Macaca mulatta: one gene and its partners. The protein of the gene in region 2 interacts with the protein of the main gene of each other region in a biochemical or structural test. Links are inferred from orthologs where the notes say so. Each region holds a gene or a part of one and is shown on either strand. Other genes may lie near its edges.

What was found.
Region 1: the proteins of USP21 (region 2) and YOD1 form a complex in vitro, tested with the Homo sapiens proteins (2 studies listed by BioGRID, with this or other methods). The link is inferred for Macaca mulatta from reciprocal best matches to the Homo sapiens genes USP21 and YOD1.
Region 3: the proteins of USP21 (region 2) and ISG15 form a complex in vitro, tested with the Homo sapiens proteins (2 studies listed by BioGRID, with this or other methods). The link is inferred for Macaca mulatta from reciprocal best matches to the Homo sapiens genes USP21 and ISG15.

Annotation. Positions count from the first base shown.
Region 1 is NC_133406.1:64,800,911-64,804,660, forward strand, and holds the start of YOD1 (ubiquitin thioesterase OTU1), read right to left. Parts: upstream 2,651-3,750; 5' UTR 2,047-2,650; coding exon 1,704-2,046; intron 734-1,703; coding exon 30-733; 3' UTR 1-29. UniProt on the Homo sapiens protein: Hydrolase that can remove conjugated ubiquitin from proteins and participates in endoplasmic reticulum-associated degradation (ERAD) for misfolded lumenal proteins.
Region 2 is NC_133406.1:105,721,103-105,724,852, reverse strand, and holds the end of USP21 (ubiquitin carboxyl-terminal hydrolase 21), read left to right. Parts: coding exon 1-3; intron 4-227; coding exon 228-339; intron 340-531; coding exon 532-687; intron 688-1,163; coding exon 1,164-1,228; intron 1,229-1,485; coding exon 1,486-1,589; intron 1,590-1,771; coding exon 1,772-1,858; intron 1,859-2,147; coding exon 2,148-2,559; intron 2,560-2,645; coding exon 2,646-2,760; intron 2,761-2,972; coding exon 2,973-3,063; 3' UTR 3,064-3,343; downstream 3,344-3,750. UniProt on the Homo sapiens protein: Deubiquitinates histone H2A, a specific tag for epigenetic transcriptional repression, thereby acting as a coactivator.
Region 3 is NC_133406.1:239,667,760-239,670,507, reverse strand, and holds ISG15 (ubiquitin-like protein ISG15), read left to right. Parts: upstream 1-973; 5' UTR 974-1,059; coding exon 1,060-1,062; exon of another isoform or gene 1,063-1,160; coding exon of another isoform or gene 1,161-1,163; intron 1,164-1,577; coding exon 1,578-2,072; 3' UTR 2,073-2,129; downstream 2,130-2,748.

The DNA of each region.
Region 1 (3,750 bases), about 41 Mb from region 2:
GTAGACTTCAACCCTCATTCATGCATAGATCACACTTCTCCAAAGTTGGTATGGCCTGTCTCCTTGGCATGTTCCCTTGCTTCTGCTTGTCCAGTTAATCCTTTCTGACATACCATGCATCTCAGGGTGAAGCGGTTGACATCAGTAAACTGTCTCCTTCTTCTAGCTTCATCTGCTAATTCCAGTGCTTGTACAAGAACAATATCATCATTAGAGGAGAAAATGGTCAGAGGAGGTGTATCTGGATCAGGGAAGTTACGCTGAAGTGGATCATAGTGGATGCCATCATAAATAAGCAGAACCCTTTTAGTATATCCTGCATCTTCCCCAAAACGATCAATTCTTACTGTCTGTGTATCCACTACACATATTTCACATTGGTAAAACTTGGACAAAATCGATATCTCTATTGCTCCTCCCCAAGTGTCATCCCTTTTGATCCAGTCACAGTACTCTTGATTTGTTTTTCCCAGTATTGCCTCACTATAGAAGTCCGGATCGCTTGCTACAATTTGTGCTATGAGGCGTCTCATCTCAGGGGCACAAGCTGGATTCAAGACTCCTCCTTCGACGACATAGTACACACTGGTAAAGAGGCAAGAATTGTCTGCTGGGACCACGGTTCTGGTAAGCACAGGCAAAGTTTCCCTGACGTAACTAGAAGCACCACGTTTAGTAAATGCAGGTGAACTTTTGGGCCTGGTTTGGTCTTCTTCAACGATCAGCATGTCACCTGTTAAAAATAAAACAAATCCCGATCTGCAGAGAAATTATAGAAGAAACCGAGTGTTCACTAGCCAAGTCTGTAAATTACAAACTGAAGGAGTTAAAGCATAAACTGGGGTTATTAAAGAGAAGACAGCTTTGCAAATAAGTTACCAGTAACAATCTTTGTTCACTGAATTTTCATAAAGATGAAAAAAGAACAAAGAACAAAGACACTTCAGGTTGCATCCCAATTTAGTGAAGCGGTCTGGAGTAAACAACTTTAAGCTTACCTAAAAAGATACATTTCAAAAACAAAATTTCCTTTCCTTATACAGTATTTTACAGAAGGTGCTCACTACAGAGTAGGCCGCTAGGGGGGTCTCCTTCTCTGGGAACTTATCTACTCTGAGTGTTTACAGCGTCCTTGATACAGCAACTGAAAGCTTTTAATTATAAACACTGATGTTCAAGTTTTGATATGGCACAAAAATAACTGCTACTGGTTAGAAATTGAAAGGGCTTTCAGTGGGTGTTTAAAAGCTGACTCGAAAATGAGTATGCCTGTCAAACGAAGTATCTATGAAGGGGATTGCAAAAATGAACCAAGAAAAAAAAAATCCTGCATCCTTGAGATCTCATCGATGATACAGGGGAAAAGAGACATAAGGACAGAGAAAATAGGCCCTACTTCTTCATATTTTTGTGGACGCCGACGGAAAACAAAATGGGATAGTTTCAAAGCCGAGCAGAAAGCGGATTGGGGAAGGGGGACTTCAAGCCTTTGGGTTCCCTTTCAACCCTGTGTCAAGACAAGGAGTTGCTAGACACTTGCCCCGGCCCCCGTCAGAGTTCTCTGTTCTTTGATCTATCCTCGCCCCTGGCCTCAAAGTCCCCCGCCGACCCACAGCCACCTTGCCTTGACTAGTGTTCTGTTCTCTCTCACGCCCCTCTCCGTCCTCCCGGGACTTTCCCTGGCCCCTGCCCTGATTCCTTACCAGATTGGATGGGCAAGTCTTCCAGAATGGTATCCCCATTGCTGAGATCCAGGCACTCGGGAGGGTATCCGACGAGGATTCGCTGACCGCCGGGGGCGATCCCGGTGATGGCGGCAATTTGGCTCTGGAGTTCCCGCACCCGGGTCCGGCTGGACAGCCCCTGCAAAACATGGGTGCCGTCCTTGGCCTTGCAGCGGAGCCGCCACATCGTGTCGGTCCGGCTGCCCACAGGCCAGACACCCGCGGGACCAGCTTTGGTCCCGGCAGCCGGTTGAGCGATGCCGCCGGGGCAACCAGGCGCCGGGTGGACTCCAAAATGGCGACCTTTAGCGGGGCCAAACATCGCGAGAAGTTGCGGGTTGTTACAGTTCTCGCGACGCTTCGGCGCGGCTTCTGCCTTAAGCGCGAACTCTTTTAAAGTGGCAACTGATTTTTCCCCCACCCTCAGAACGAAGATGTAAACCTCCGTATTCCTAAAGGACAACGGGTCTTGCTACTTGTAGAGCGAGTGAGGTGCCCTCCGCGTCGGTAGCATATATGCTTAAGAAAAGAGGGCGGGGGAAGGAGTTCCTTAATGAAGCTCTGGAGCTTGGAATGTGACCTTGCACTTAGTGAGGTCGGAAATTATTAAATTGGGGCTTCCACGCTACACCCAGACTACATTAGGAGAAACAGAATCATAGTTCACAACGCAAACGAATGCCAGGAATGGTCACTGAGTCAAAGGACCAGTCAAAAACAATTATACTTGTGACTAGACTCGTGGCTGCATTAAACATTGACTCATTGAGGTTCCAGGGGCCAAAGGACTGGCCTTTCTGCCTCCCTGGGACTGCTTGAAAACGTCTATTTGCCACATCAGAAAGCACAGTATGAGGTCAGCATCTGGGCCCAGGGCAGCTGCCTCATTCAGGTGGTGGCAGTGTAAGGAGGAGTCATGTAGTGCGTGTCATCAGATTCCAGTTCAGTTCCTGGGCATGCAAATATGAAGACTTCATTCCTGCCTTCATTGTAACAAGTATTGATTGCAGTTGGGAGACAGGGTGGGGTGTGAGACACACAGCCACTGAATTTCAAAGCAACGTGATAATGCTAGATTATGTGTACCTTTTCAACCGTGTGTGCCTAGAACCCAGGACTGTGAATCGCAAATAAAAAATGTTCAACAAATACTTGCTGAAAGAATAAAGACAGAGTTGTATAGACATAGAGAGGGCAACTAGAGCACTCTGGGAGTTGTAAAAAGTCTCAAAGAGGAGATAACTGTTTGAACTTTTGGAAGAATGAGTTTAATTCCCAGGCGAAGGAGGAATAAAGACATCCCTGAATTTATATGTCTATTTTCCAAGAAATCTATACTCATTGTTCTTTATCCAGCCGGTATCCAGACAGCAAGTCCCACTTGTCTAGAGTGTGTTTATCAAGCATCAAACGGGCCCACTGGGGCAACTATGAAAAGTGTAGTTCACTTGGTCCAAACTCACCTCCACTGTAAAAGACTTTGCTTCTGAATAAATGATATGTAATGTTTCTATCTTTTCACATCTTTCATGACTCAATTTTTTTCTGCTGGTGCAATTTTCCTCCTTGGTTCTTCAAGACACTACAACAGATGATACAGCCTGAGTTGGGAGGTAGGTAGGAGGGAAGGTAGGAGCGGTTAGAAGTCCACTGGGGTGGCCGGGCGCGGTGGCTCACACCTGTAATCCCAGCACTTTGGGAGGCCGAGGCGGGTGAATCACCCGAGGTCAGAAGTTCGAGACCAGCCTCATCAATATGGAGAAATCCTGTCTCTACTAAAAATACAAAATAAGGGGGGCGTAGTGGCGCATGCCTGTAATCCTAGATACTCGGAGGCTGGAGAATCGCTTGAACCCGGGAGGCAAAGGTTGCGGTGAGCCAAGATCGTGCCATTTCTCTCCAGCCTGGGCAACAAGAGCAAAACTCCATCTCAAAAAAAGAAAAAAAAAATTCCACTGGGGTGTATGGGTGGGTCCAGGGAAGCTTCTGGTTCAACGATGAGAGTGGTTGAGTTTCTTAGGTTACA
Region 2 (3,750 bases):
AAGGTGGGGCAACAACTCCTGCTCCCTCTGTTCAAGTCCCTTTTTCCCCAACCACTTGCAGGTCCATCTGCCAGTACTGGTGGCCCCCAACCCTTAAATCTGGCAGTTGTATCTACTTTTCCCAGTGCCTACTTTCCTAAAGGTTATTTTCTGCCCTCTGAGCCACATCTTGCTTGCCTCTTCCAGACATTAACCTTTGTTTCCCTTCCCTACTCCCATCCTAACAGCCTTTGCAGATGTGATTGGTGCCCTCTGGCACCCTGACTCCTGCGAAGCTGTGAATCCTACTCGATTCCGAGCTGTCTTCCAGAAATATGTTCCCTCCTTCTCTGGATACAGGTGGGAGAGCTGGAGGCTATGGGATTTCTCTCTGGCCATGTCTGGGGGTAGGGCCAAGCAAGGGCCCTGGCAGCATTGTTCTGAGCTTTGAGATGTTCTTCATCCAGGAAGTGGGGACCGGTATCTGGGCAGGGAATAGTGTCTGTGGACTAGGAGGGGAGTCAGTTGCCCATACTCTTTGTCTGGCTGTAGCCAGCAGGATGCCCAAGAGTTCCTGAAGCTCCTCATGGAGCGGCTACACCTTGAAATCAACCGCCGAGGCCGCCGGGCTCCACCAATCCTTGCCAATGGTCCAGTTCCCTCTCCACCCCGCCGAGGAGGGGCTCTGCTAGAAGAACCTGAGTTAAGGTAAGGGTCGTTCCCTCTACCTCCTCTCCCCAGTAGTTTATCAGCAGCATTTACACTTCATAGAACTGAACTAGTCAAGATGAAAGATGTAGGGTCCAGGAAAACCCTTTAGTATAGAAAATAGTGTGAGAAGCAGCGTAGAAGTAGAAGGAAGGAAGAGGGGGAGTCTAAGGGAGCAGATGGAGGCAGAAGATCATGCTAGGGATGTCACCAAATTGAAGAAGGGGATAATTAATTTACAGGTTGAGGAAGACAGCATATTCTTCCCTTGTGTACAATCCTTCCTTTTCCTCTCACCTCAGATTTCCCCAGAAAGTTCATTGAGGCATTATTCCTTTGACTTTTCCTTGAAATATAGGGAAGAAGCAGGGGTGTGGGTGGGGTGTAGGGCTCTGTGGGTCGTTTCAGTGGGTGTTGGGGTGCCCAGTGTTCTTGCTGTCTCATGGATGCTCCCCACTTCCTTTGATCTGTGGTAGTGATGATGACCGAGCCAACCTAATGTGGAAACGTTACCTGGAGCGAGAGGACAGCAAGATTGTGGGTATGGAATGGGGCAAAGCAATGAGGGAAAATTAGTGTGTGAGGGGGGTACAGGCTTGGGGGGAAAATTGATACTATCGAGGGGTATGGGAAGAAGACTGGATGATGCAAATGTGAAGCTGTGTGAAGAGTTGATTAGGAGTGTTGGTAGTGGGAAAGGAAGGGTCAGGCAAAGGGGCAGAAAGAGATAGAAATCCGAGAAATCATCTCATAACATCCAACAATGACCTTTTCTCCTGTCCCTGTGCTTCTGTCTAGACCTGTTTGTGGGCCAGTTGAAAAGTTGTCTCAAGTGCCAGGCCTGTGGGTATCGCTCCACGACCTTCGAGGTTTTTTGTGACCTGTCCCTGCCCATCCCCAAGGTGGGATTCCAGAGGATTCCGGGGTGGACAGGACAGGGGCTCTGTGACCCAAGCCTACCCACCCCCAGAGTGAGGGCGGGAACCCTGTGGGTTTCTGGAGCAGAACTGAAGCCTGGATTGATTGAGAAGAGTTGGAAAAGGAAATTCAGAACATGTTGACCTTTCTTCCCCTTTTCCCCCAGAAAGGATTTGCTGGGGGCAAAGTGTCTCTGCGGGATTGTTTCAACCTTTTCACTAAGGAAGAAGAGCTAGAGTCGGAGAATGCCCCAGTATGTGGAGGTTCACAAGGGATATAGTAAGGTCGGGAGACCTGGGGGGAGGGGGACTCCATGTGGATAAAATGGATTGCATGATGCCTTAATATGGGGAATAATATTTATGTATCTGGGTTTGTGTTGGAGTCTCAGATATGTTCTAGTACTCCTAGAGCAAAGGGGAGAAGCCGAGAGGATCCAGCCGTAATGAAGTGCATACGAAATTTATATGTGGATTGGAGTGTCAGAAAAGCCAGTTGAAGTTAGGAGCGCATTAACCTAACACTGTTTGCCATTTATTCAGGTGTGTGATCGATGTCGGCAGAAAACTCGAAGTACCAAAAAGTTGACAGTACAAAGATTCCCTCGAATCCTCGTGCTCCATATCCTAATCTTCAGATTCTTACTTCTCTTAGGATACCTCCCATACATTCTCTTTCCTCACCCTCCATGTTTCCAGAGAATTGAATTTTCCTTAGGAAAAGCCTGCCACACCCTTTTCCACAAGCTACTCCCAGTGTTTTGGGAGTGGGGAGAGGACAGCTTTCAGGACAGAAGTCCCCCTCAGAGGCCCACTGCCTCCCAAATGCTCCTTAACCAGGGCTTAGATCTGAATCGCTTTTCTGCCTCCCGAGGCTCCATCAAGAAGAGTTCAGTAGGTGTAGACTTTCCACTGCAGCGACTGAGCCTAGGGGACTTTGCCAGTGACAAAGCCGGTGAGTCTGGTGGGGAAAGTCCTAAGGAGCCAAAGGAGTGGGGGCACAGCTCTGATTGTAGAACTTGATCATCTCCAACCCCGCAGGAAGTCCTGTATACCAGCTGTATGCCCTTTGCAACCACTCAGGCAGCGTCCACTATGGCCACTACACAGCCCTGTGCAGGTGCCAGACTGGTTGGCATGTCTACAATGACTCTCGGTGAGAACAGCCTCCTATTTACATCTTGCCCCATTCCCACTCAGCCCTGACACCCTCCCCTTCTGTGAAGTCCCAGGAGAGCAGAGTGCCAGGTGAAAGGAGAGGCGGAGGTCTTGCCTGATCTCTTCCTGGATGCTCTGAGGTTCGGTCTTGAGGGAGAAGGGAGTAAACAGTAATGACCACAACCCTTTCCCGATCTCCCTTTTTCCTAGTGTCTCCCCTGTCAGTGAAAACCAGGTGGCATCCAGCGAGGGCTACGTGCTGTTCTACCAACTGATGCAGGAGCCACCCCGGTGCCTGTGACACCCTCTCTAAGCCCTGGCACCTGTGAAGCCCTTTAAACACCCTTAAGCCCCAGGCTCCCCGTTTACCTCAGAGACGTCTATTTTTGTGTCTTTTTAATCGGGGAGGGGGGAGGGGGTGGTTGTAGCTCCATTATTTTTTTTATTAAAAAATACCCTTCCACCTGGAGGCTCCCTTGTCTCCCAGCCCCATGTACAGAGCTCACCAAGCCCCTGCCCGTGTACAGCCCCCAGACCCCCTGCAATATCACTTTTTGTGAATAAATTTATTAAGAAAAAATGATGTGCTTATTTGTATTTTTGCTTAGGGAGTGACAGAAAACTGGGCCTAATTGGAGTCTTCCTGGGACCCAAGTTCCCTCTCTAATAGGTGGGGGCGCTCTCAGATCCAAGGGGGAAGGTTTCGGAGATGGTGCTGGACCCGGACCTGTGCCCCCCAGCAGTGTACATTAAGCACTGGGAGGAAAAAGAGGGAAGGCATACTTGAGGCTGCGTGCAGGCTCTGGGGCGTCTGGTTTGGTCGGCGATGGGGGATGCCGCTGTTGACAAACACTGGGTACGTTGCCGGGTGGCCCTAGCTCCCGTAGGCCCGGTCTGTTGCTAACATCAAGGAGCTGTTTATGGAGCCACCTCCCAGTGGACTGGCTTCCAGTGTCCCTATCTATTCTCCCTACGACCAAAGCTCCTG
Region 3 (2,748 bases), about 130 Mb from region 2:
GTTCGAGACCAGCCTGGGCAACATGGCGAGACCCCAATCTCTACTAAAAATACAAAAAAGTAGCCGGACCCCTGTGGTCCCAGCTACGTGGGAGGCTGACGTGAGGGGATCCCTTTAGCCAGGGAGGTGGAGGCTGCGGTGAGCTGGGATTGCACCTCTGCACTCCAGCCTGGGCGACAGAGTGAGACCCTGTCTCAAAAAAACAAAAACAACAAAAAACACCAAACCTGGGCAAATACTGCCCTAAACCAAGTGTTGTCATCTCTGGGGAGTTTGGAGGTTTTGTTTCTGAATTAACCATAGAGGTGTTTTCCATGTTTACTGTTTGCAAGTTGGTAAATGGAAAATGAAACCATTAGTTCATGTGAAGGCTTTAGCGCTTTTTTTTTTTTTTTTTTTTTTAACAGTTTCACTCTTGTTGCCCAGGCTGGAGCGCAATGGCGCGATCTCGGCTCACCGCAACCTCCACCTCCCAGGTTCAAGCGATTCTCCTGCCTCAACCTTCCCAAGTAGCTGGGATTACAGGCATGCGCCACCAAACCTGGCTAATTTTGTATTTTTAGTAGAGACGGGGTTTCTCTGTGTGGGTCAGGCTGCTCTCAAACTCCCGACCTCAGGTGATCTGCCCACCTCGGCCTCCCAAAGTGCTGGGATTACAGGAGTGAGCCACGGCATTCAACCAGCTTTAGTGCATCTTGTGAAGGACCTGGAATGCTCGATATTTAGGTGTTTCCAGGGTGTTGGGTGGGGGTGGGGATGCCGTCCGCCGTCCTGAGTCCCCGGCCCTGACAGTGCCTTTGAGACCCTGCCCACCCCCTTCTGCTTTTCCCCGTCTTTCGGCCATTCTGTTTTGTTTCTTCTGCTCACTCTGGGGCATGCCTTGGGAAAAGGAAACCGAAACTTGGCCACCGGAGCAGGCTCGCGCGGCCACGCCCCCTGACGTGTGTGGCTCAGGCTTATAACAGGGCTGGCTGCTGCCTGCAGGAGCCGGCAGTTGAGAGGCAGTGAACTCATCTTTGCCAGTACAGGAGCTCGTGCCGCGTCCCACAGCCCACAGCCATGGTAAGGGAGATGTCACAGGTGTGTGTGTGTTGGGTGGGGGGGGCCTCTGTGCCAATCAATTTTTGTCTCCCCCAGCCCGTGGCCCACAGCCCACAGCCATGGTAAGGGAGATGTCACAGGTGGGGGCTCGGGGGGGGGCAGGCCTCTGTGCCAGTCAATTTTCAGCTCCCTCCCCCAGCCAAGGTCTCCCAGGGTTGCAGGGAGAGCAGAGCTGCTTAGAGCTCGGCCAGGTTCTAAGTGTGCTCCTGAAAGCAGGTCACCCCTGAGATCCTCAGGGTGGGCACAGAGGGGCACCCTAGCAGGTAAAGGGAGGCCACGGATGGCTGTGGGCAGCTGGCCTTCTAGTAATGACCCCTCAGTGCCTTCTGTGCCTGGGGTCCCTGCTGATGGGATGTAGAGGACAAACAGGAGGAAGCACTGTCCCTGGGCACAGGAGCTCGCCCAGCAGCCAGGGCCTTGTGTGTCGTGGGCCTGGGACTGGTGCGGCAGCCTCTGAGCCTGTGTAATGTCTGCAGAGCTGGGACCTGAAGGTGAAGATGCTGGGGGGCAACGAGTTCCAGGTGTCCCTGAGCAACTCCATGTCGGTGTCAGAGCTGAAGGCAAAGATCGCCCAGAAGATCGGCGTGCATGCCTTCCAGCAGCGTCTGGCTGTCCACCCCAGCGGCGCCACCCTGCAGGACAGGGTTCCCCTTGCCAACCAGGGCCTGGGCCCCGGCAGCACGGTCCTGCTGGTGGTGGACAAGTGCGATGAACCTCTGAGCATCCTGGTGAGGAACGACAAGGGCCGGAGCAGCACCTACGAGGTACAGCTGACGCAGACTGTGGCCCACCTGAAGCAGCAAGTGAGCCGGCAGGAGGGTGTGCAGGACGACCTGTTCTGGCTGACCTTCGAGGGGAAGCCCCTGGAGAATCAGCTCCCGCTGGGGGAGTACGGCCTCAAGCCCCTGAGCACCGTGTTCATGAATCTGCGCCTGCGGGGAGGCGGCACAGAGCCTGGCGGGCAGAGCTAAGGGCCTCCACCAGCATTCGAGCAAGATCAAGGGCTGGAAATAAATGTTGTAAAGAGAAATGGCTGCCTCTGTGTCTGCACGTGACCCTCCTCCAGCGTCCGCCTCAGACCCCTAGTGAAGTGGCGGGAGGAGTCAGGAGGGAGATCCCAGGGTCCATCCTGGTGACCAGGCCTGGTTGCCAAGTGAAAGGATAAGGGTTTGCAGTTACAGCCTCGAGGGATCAAAATACGGAGCTTCCTCCCTACCAAACTGAAGTAAGACAGCTCTCCCCACCCTTTGGGAAATTAACTTCTAGGGAAAGAAAAAGAGACACAGTTGCTGGAGCCCATCCTGCCCATCCTCCATCTGGGACAGCAGACAGCTTAGGCAGGGACCAGCCTGCTCAAATCAAAAGGCTACGGGGGAGGCTCCCAGTGGGCCCCTGGAAGCTGTGCGGGGTGAGTCCTTGGGGCCTGCCCAGTGGGCTGTGAGGCAGGCTCTCCACAGGAACTGGGGGCCGGGGGCCTCAGCTGTCCCTAGCCCAGCCTGCACAGCCTGCTCCACCTGCCTGGGCTGGGCGAGGGAGGGATAGAGACAGGTCCTGAGTGCTCACATCACCACTGGGGCCAGCTGTAGAAGACAGCCTGGGTGGCTAAGCACATCCCCTCAAGGCTCTGCGTGAATGAGGGGCCGTGGC